Linked DNA regions of Daphnia pulex. The protein of the gene in region 2 purifies or fractionates together with the protein of the main gene of each other region. This does not show direct contact. Links are inferred from orthologs where the notes say so. Each region holds a gene or a part of one and is shown on either strand. Other genes may lie near its edges.

The links. The genes of interacting proteins can lie anywhere in the genome.
Region 1: the proteins of homeobox protein extradenticle-like (region 2) and homeobox protein Hox-B1a-like fractionate together in Drosophila melanogaster (co-fractionation; 5 studies listed by BioGRID). This does not show direct contact. The link is inferred for Daphnia pulex from reciprocal best matches to the Drosophila melanogaster genes exd and lab.

The regions. Positions count from the first base shown.
Region 1 is NC_060024.1:12,526,766-12,530,516, reverse strand, and holds the start of homeobox protein Hox-B1a-like, read right to left. Parts: upstream 2,430-3,751; 5' UTR 1,669-2,429; coding exon 414-1,668; intron 1-413. UniProt on the Drosophila melanogaster protein: Sequence-specific transcription factor which is part of a developmental regulatory system that provides cells with specific positional identities on the anterior-posterior axis. Required for proper head development.
Region 2 is NC_060023.1:11,356,390-11,360,140, reverse strand, and holds the start of homeobox protein extradenticle-like, read right to left. Parts: upstream 2,716-3,751; 5' UTR 2,629-2,715; exon of another isoform or gene 2,539-2,628; intron 2,282-2,538; 5' UTR 2,206-2,281; coding exon 2,035-2,205; intron 1,973-2,034; coding exon 1,831-1,972; intron 1,766-1,830; coding exon 1,515-1,765; intron 1,425-1,514; coding exon 1,234-1,424; intron 1,159-1,233; coding exon 1,023-1,158; intron 955-1,022; coding exon 855-954; intron 776-854; coding exon 624-775; intron 557-623; coding exon 497-556; 3' UTR 1-496. Other genes in the region: surfeit locus protein 1-like, read right to left, coding at 2,894-3,107, 3,164-3,337, 3,389-3,574, 3,637-3,751. UniProt on the Drosophila melanogaster protein: Transcription factor which acts with the selector homeodomain proteins altering the regulation of downstream target genes such as wingless (wg), teashirt (tsh) and decapentaplegic (dpp), thus affecting segmental identity.

The DNA of each region.
Region 1 (3,751 bases), on a different chromosome or scaffold from region 2:
TCTCCATTCAAAATCGTTTTCTGAAAAAGAGGAGAGCGGCCGTTTTTCCTTATTTTTACGACCGGCCTACAGGGACCGATTGGCGGCTTCCTCATCTTTCATCTTTTTTATTTCCTTTTGGGCGGCCAACGTTTCTAGGCGATCATGACTACCGCCGACCGCACCCATTTTTCTTTAAATGATTCGAATCTAGAGCTGTATCCTCCTTCTTTTTGTCTGAACTAGTTAACTCGACTACAATCAAATGATGCTGAAGATTTGGTTCATTTTGACCGTCGGGGTCAATCTTAACTATGAATGATAGGCCTCGAATCAAAGTTGATGGCATTCAAAGAAATGATAGGCCTAGTGAGATTTCTGGCTGGGAATAACAAATGGATGCAATGATTGAATGGATTAAAAAAGAAACGTACCAGGTTTGGGTACATTCCGTTTGACTTGCATCCATTTGTAGGTGGGAACGTTGGACTGCTGTTGTTGCTGGACGGGGTGGTTGAGATTGGGCTGGACTCCTCCGCCGTTGCCTCCGCCGCCACTTGCACCACTTTGCCCCTGGAGTTGATTGTGATGCTGGCCGGGGTGCTGGGCAGCGGCCGCGGCGGCCGCTCCCAGTCCAACCAGGTTGAGCATGCCGTTGACCTGGCATTGATCTCGCAGCGATGGCCCGCCGACGCCGACGCCGTACGGTCCCACGGAGGAGCCGAAATGGCCAGCCGCCGCGGCTGCTGGATGTGTGACGCGGGCTCCGTACTGGGTCACGTCCGGGTAGCCGTAACCTGCCGTCGCTCCCGTGGGAATGGCGACGGCCGCCGCTGATAGGCCGTTGATTCCGACGGTGCCGTCCACCACGACGCCATGACCCGTCATGGCCGGATGGACTTGATGATGCCCGTGGTGCACAGAGTGGTGATGGTGTGGGTGTCCGTGATGACTCTGGTGATGAACCTGGTGGTGTTGTTGTTGTTGCTGTTGATGGTGGTGATGTTGTTGCTGCTGCTGTTGCTGCTGTTGTATTCCGTGCTGGTGCTGGGCGTGGTGGTGCTGTTGTTGCTGTTGTTGCTGCTGGTGCAATTGCTGATGATGTTGCTGCTGCTGCTGCTGGTTGGGCGAACCGTGGTGCTGGCCGGAATAATCCGTTTGGTAGGCACTGCTGTTACCGACGGACACTGAAGATATCGAATGCTGGCCCATGCCCGTCCCCACGCTGTGCGGGCTCAGGTGGTAGGAGGCGGCGGCGGCTGTGGCGGCGGCAGCGGCCGCTGCAGCTGCGGCCGCCGTGGCGTATCCGTTGGCGTCCAAATTGGTGTAGGAGAGGCCGTTTCCCGAGCCTCCGCCGACGTCTCCCGACTGGAGCAAACCGGAATTTGTGTGCTGATCGTGCGGAGTCAGCGGAGGCGTTCGCGGATCGGGCGTCTGCTGCTGCTGGTGGCTCAGGTAGTGCGGCGGGCCGACGGAGCCCAAAACACTGCCGCCCGTCGGGCCGCTCGATTCCGGGGTCGAGGCCTGGCCCGACGAACCTCCGCCGCTGTTTGAACTGACGGATCCGCTTCCGTAGACTCCTCCGTAGACGGATCCGGCCAAATCTGTCGCGTAGTTTGACGCTGATCCGTAACCGACGCCGACGCCTCCGTCACCGTTGCAAACACCGTAAAGAACGTTGGCGTTCATCTTTTGTTTGTTTGTTTTGTTTCTTGTCTTTTAATTTGATTTTTTCAAATTCAAAAAAGGAAACCCAAAATTCCAATTTTGTTTTTGTCCACTTTTGATCGAGTTCTCGTCTCAATGACGTAACATCATCTGTCGTCCTGACACTGTAAATTAGGGGTCACTCTCACACTTTTGGGCTGCACCAATGACGACACTGCTCACTTCATATAGAAACCGAAATTGTTGACTGGGGCAAACTGGGGGAAATGAAACAAATCAAAAAGAAATTGGCTTTTTCACTGCGAAATTTTGGTTGTTGAACGGCGGCCACGACACGGGCAACAACAAGATTGAAGTAGCGGTGGTGGTGGGATGGTTAGTCCGATGGTCGGGCTCATCGCACTCTCTAGAAGAAGCGAATCCTCATCTGATTTTGTCGCCAAAAAGACGCAACTTGTGTGTGTGCGCAATTCTTGCCTTTTTGAATTGAAGTAAAATGTTTGGTCAGTTTGAAGCGGATGGCATAGGGTTAGAAAAAACAAACAAAAATAGTTGGCGGAACTCTAGTCAAGTCTCTCTATCTCGTGGCTCTGTACGTGTTACACTACGACGACCGAGTACTAGATGCCAACAGCCGTGATGGGCCAGGCCAGCAGCCAGTATTTTTTTTCTTCTTCTTTTCTTTTTTCCTTCGGTGGGGAAATGGGGTGGGTGTTTGGTTGTTACTGCAGTGCGAGGCGGGCAGGAACACGGGCAAACTCGGCTCTCTACACACATGCACACACACAACACACACACACGGGTGGATGTGTATAATAGTAGAGAGAAAGGAGGCCTGCCTACTGGCTCGACTCGCTAGAGGACCTCCCCTCCGAGTCACGTGACTAGCGCCAGCCGACCAATTGGGTCGCCGATTGGGAGCTGCTCGCGAGCAACGCCTCAATTTCCTTCCCTTCCCTCCTTGACAAGCTCGAGTGTGTCTGTCTGTGTGTGTATGCGTCTCTATACAGCACATGAGAGACTATGGCCGCACCGAGTGTACCGCCCTGTCGTGGAGTAGCTCTTCTCTCCTACGCCGCGCGGGACTATGGTGCATCGCACGATGGTTTATATCTTTTTTTTTTCTAAGGGACTCGCTATGATTACAAGAAGCGAAACACCGTGACGAGAAAAGAGAAAGACTCGGAACATTTTTCTCCGTTTTTTTTTCCACCGAAGAAGTGGATTGATGTTTCTATCTGTTTATATTTTTCTGGAATTGTTTGTAGAAACGGTCGATGCAAAAATTTGAAAGATAAAAGGCCGTTGAGGAAGCGTGAATTTTATTTTTGATTTGAATTATCAATTGGAGAGCAATGTCGGTGGAAATGTTTGATGTTTTCTATTATCTGCGGAAAGGCAGTCAGCAGACACACAGGGAGAGAAAGAGAGATGGAATATAAATGTTACAAATCATGCCTAAACGTTTGTGAAATAGATCATGATGATCGCTCTGGCGACTGCTGGGGTTTTTCCGACACGTTAATGACAGAGGGCTGGGTGGTGGCACGATGGATGGGCCATTGCGACGAGTTATTGATGCTCTCGCGCTGCGCTCTCTCTGCTCCGCTCCCATAAAAGGTGGCCCGAGCCACTGCGGTCTTGGTGGCCGGCTTATATAGCCAACACACACACACACACACACACACTGAGGAGGAAGAAGAAGATATGAGAGCCTTACTGTGTGTGTGCAAGGCCGAAAATGACATGTCGCACATTTTTTTTTTTCTTTTTTTATATTTGATTTGTCGGAATTTGAAATTTGGAATTTTTGAATTGCAGGTTGTCTTTGTTGGTGTGTGGCGTCATTGCGAGGTACACGGAAGAGCTGTCAGTCAACTCGGCCAGCCTTTTCCATTACAAGTGAGCGTCGTGGTGGTTTTCATCAATGGGGAAATGACGACGACGACGACGTGGAATGGAGAAATCATCTCTCGGGGGAGCTGCCGGTTTTGCAGGCGAAAATCTCAGGTAAGACAACAAGACAAACAGCAATTCGCTTGGCCGCGGTAGAGATGATGATGATGTGTTTGGACGTGGACTGGTGTCATTTCACACGCCACCT
Region 2 (3,751 bases):
TTTTTCAGTTAAAACGCAAACTTGATGGGAATTCTTGTGTTTTTTTTGTTTTTTTAGAAATAGGACTCGGGTCCGTGGGATGTGGATTTTCGAGAATACTGATGATCGTTTTTTCGGTGACGGGAGAGCGTACGTGATTGTAATCGGAGATGTTCGGTTCACTTCTAGTTGTCAAATAAAAACGATAACGACTACATCGACGGTTTCAACTATACGCAAAAGCGATTAAAACTACAGAGGTTTCTGAAACAAATGAGAAAAAACAAGCACCGATCGAGGTGATCCACAGAAACATTTTCTATCAAGACGAAACAACAAAGCTGCACTGAGAGGAAGGGACAAAAGAAGGAGTACGAGATGGGTTAGAACGAGTTAATCGAACAGCTGAAGATAGCTTGTAACGCACAGTATGATCAAGATCTGATGAAGTTAGTAAATTAAGAGTTGATTTGCCGAGAAATAGGGTGGAGGAGGAGAAGGGGCACTCGTCCACCCCTCAGGGTGAATTCACTTGATGCATACTTGGATCATAACCCATCGATGAATCGCCATAGCCCTACAAACACGTTTACATTAATTAATATGCTGAGATACCACTAGTTAAGTCATTAAAAGTAGTTTACTTGGCCGCCCATGGAGGAAGGAAAGTCACCACCGTTGAGTCCCATAGCACCGTACGGGCCTAAGGAATCTTGTGGACCCCTGAGTTCAGGACCACCAGGTTGAGGCGACATCATCGGTCCGGGAGTTCCAGCCATACTGTATGGCGAGGAACCTAACGAGAAAGAAAAAGTACGAAAATTAGAATCGCTCCGGTAATACGAGGATTTGAAAATCCTCAGAGTGGAAACAACTACCCGCGGCCTTTTTAGCAGCATACAGGTTGGCCTCCTCTTGGGCTTTTCCAATGTTTTTCTTGTAACGAATTCGTTTGTTACCGAACCAATTCGAAACCTTTTTTGTAAAAATAACAAAACATTAATGCGCTTATTCCTCTTAAAAGGATTTAAAAAGAAATTAACCTGTGAAACGGTGATCCCACATTTACGAGCGAGCTCTTCTTTGGCTTCTTCACTTGGGTAGGGGTTGCTTAGGTGCGAGTAGAAGTACTCATTCAAGATCTCAGAAGCTTGTTTGCTGAAGTTACGCCGCTTCCTCCTACATGATGAAGACATCGATAGAACAACACCTTTAATGGGCGTGGTCAAACCTTAAAAAAATAGCAAAATTTACCTGGCGTCGAGGAAACGAGATCGTAAAATCATAACGGCCTCGCAAGTGCTTTGCTTCAGCTGCATTTGGATGGAGCTAAACTTGCGATGAATGATCTGAACCATCCGCTCAATCTCCTTGGGTGTAATCGGACGAGTACGGGATTGTTCTCGGAGCAAATTCATAACATGGGTGGTGAATTCACTGCAAGCCTGAAAGCGGATGTAAAAATGAAATGGTTATTCTCCATTTTCTTGTCATAGAGGTCCAATAAAAAAATAAGCATTGCTAAAAATGTGTACCTGCTCATATTTCTCAAGCTCTTGATGGTAAATTTGACGAATTTGTGCCAACTTAGCCCTATAATCAGAGTGTTCAATAGCCGAGTCCGACATTGAGCCGCTTTGAGACGCTGCAGCTGATGCATTGGCAGCAGCACCGGCCCCACCTCCTTTTTCAGGACCAGCTACTCCTTCAGCAATCAACATGTTATCCAACCGCATGAGTTGCGGATCTGGAGGCTCCTCTTCTTGCGTGTTGCGTAGCGACAAAACTAAAGTGAGAGCACAATTTAATGTTACCATTCAATCACTTGGATTCATATTGAAATAGGGTTACCAGTTTTCTCTTTGATTTCACACAAGACAGAAAACAAAGCAGGTTTCATGCGATGACAGTTCAGGGTATGCTTGCGTGCTTGGGCTTCATCAAGACTCTGGTCTGTGATGTTCATGATCTGTTGCAGAATTTCTCCAATATCCTAAAAAAAAAGAAGTTTTACTTAAAAGGAAAAAAAGATTTTGGAAATGGAATTGTACACACCTGCTTTCGTCCAGTCATATTTTCAGAGTCTTGGTTCCCTCCATCAAGTGAAGCCATGTTAACCCCAACATTGACTCCGACATTGACAGGAGGTAACCCATACGGTGGCTGATGCATTAGTCCAACCTGGCCACCTGGAACAGGATGCATAAGTCGATTTGGATCATCCATCAAAAGCAATGAAATCTTCCAATGTCACTGCACAAAACGTATTGCCTTCAGGCTACAGGACCTGGCAATAAAGACCCTGTAAACAATGACTTTCCGTTTACTAACATCCATACATGTGATTTCATGAAATGTAAACATAAAATGAAATGTACTAGACACAACAAAGCACTAGTATTGCAAGAAAGCAATCGTAAATAACAAAAATTGGCTTCGGTTAATATAAAAATGCCAACGTCTTATAAAATGCCCAAGGCGACAAGCGTCCGCCATGGAAGAGAAGTTTGCTTGCGTAGCGTATTTCTTTCAATTAGAATAAAAACTTTCTTTACTGACTTGACACACAATTTGAAACCGGGAATTCACGAGTTGTTTAGTATTCAAACAGACTGAATCACATTTCTCAAAGGCTCATAAAATAATTACCAGAGATCGCCGAGATTATCGACGGGACAAAGCAAAAAAGACGCGAGAACGCGATCACAAAGGTAAGTATCGATAATTATATCGGGTAAGCCAATAATCGATGTACTAGAAACTCGCGATACTGTATTTATTTTTTATTTTGAATTTTATTAATTAAAATTTTATTTTTACAAATGAAAACGCAACAAGAGTAAAAATATAATGATGTTTGATGTTAAAATGTATTAATTTGACTTTAACCTCTATGAAGATAAATACATTTAAGTTACATAAGAGGCATTTTCTTGATAAATCGTCGATGCCACAAAAATGCTGTGATAATTGATAATGAATACCACGTTAAAATGTACGAAACGTGTTCATTTCTAACAGTAACAACTGTTTGTCCACCTACAGGTCCATCCGGTACTGTGCTATCAGCGTCCGCGTCAAAGAAAATTGGCGCAGTGTCTAGAAGCCGAGCCATTCCCTCCACATCTCTGTACGCAATATATATGAAGTTATCTAACTTTGCGAAAAATATAATTGTCTTTACCTGAAATGAAACATGCGGTCTTTGGGCTGATTTTGGGGTACAAACTGGGGGCGATTTTCATTAGAGCGGTACACTCCAATCAGTTTTGTTTCGCCTTCTCTTTGTCCATTTAGTCTGGTGAATGGATTCATTTTTTTACGAGGAATCCATCCGCGGTTTACAAGAACTGTGAGACTAAAAGTAACTTGTAGAAAATTGAGAAAATTAACTGTTTGAATGTCTTACTTGGAATCTGATAGTTTAAATGGAGTGATGACTAAATAGCCACTCTGCCCTGAAGACAACATCCCACCACCTTCATTTTTTTCATTTCCAACCAGTGATCTTGGCCCAATGTAAATCTCTTTGTCATGTTCAAATTTTCCATGGAGTTCAAACTTCCGGTATTCCATGTCAGATAGCCCTTCAATACTGTAGAGCATTGGTGTAAATATGCATAAAAGGGTAGAGTTAAAGAATTGTATCAGTCTCACTCTGTAGACTGAAATGGAATTGGTGGTGCAGACGTTCTGCTGGCAAGATGATCAATAACACCAAGTTTCCACTGACGTCTGAAAATCTGCCAGGTCCCAAGGCCGAAAGTGATGG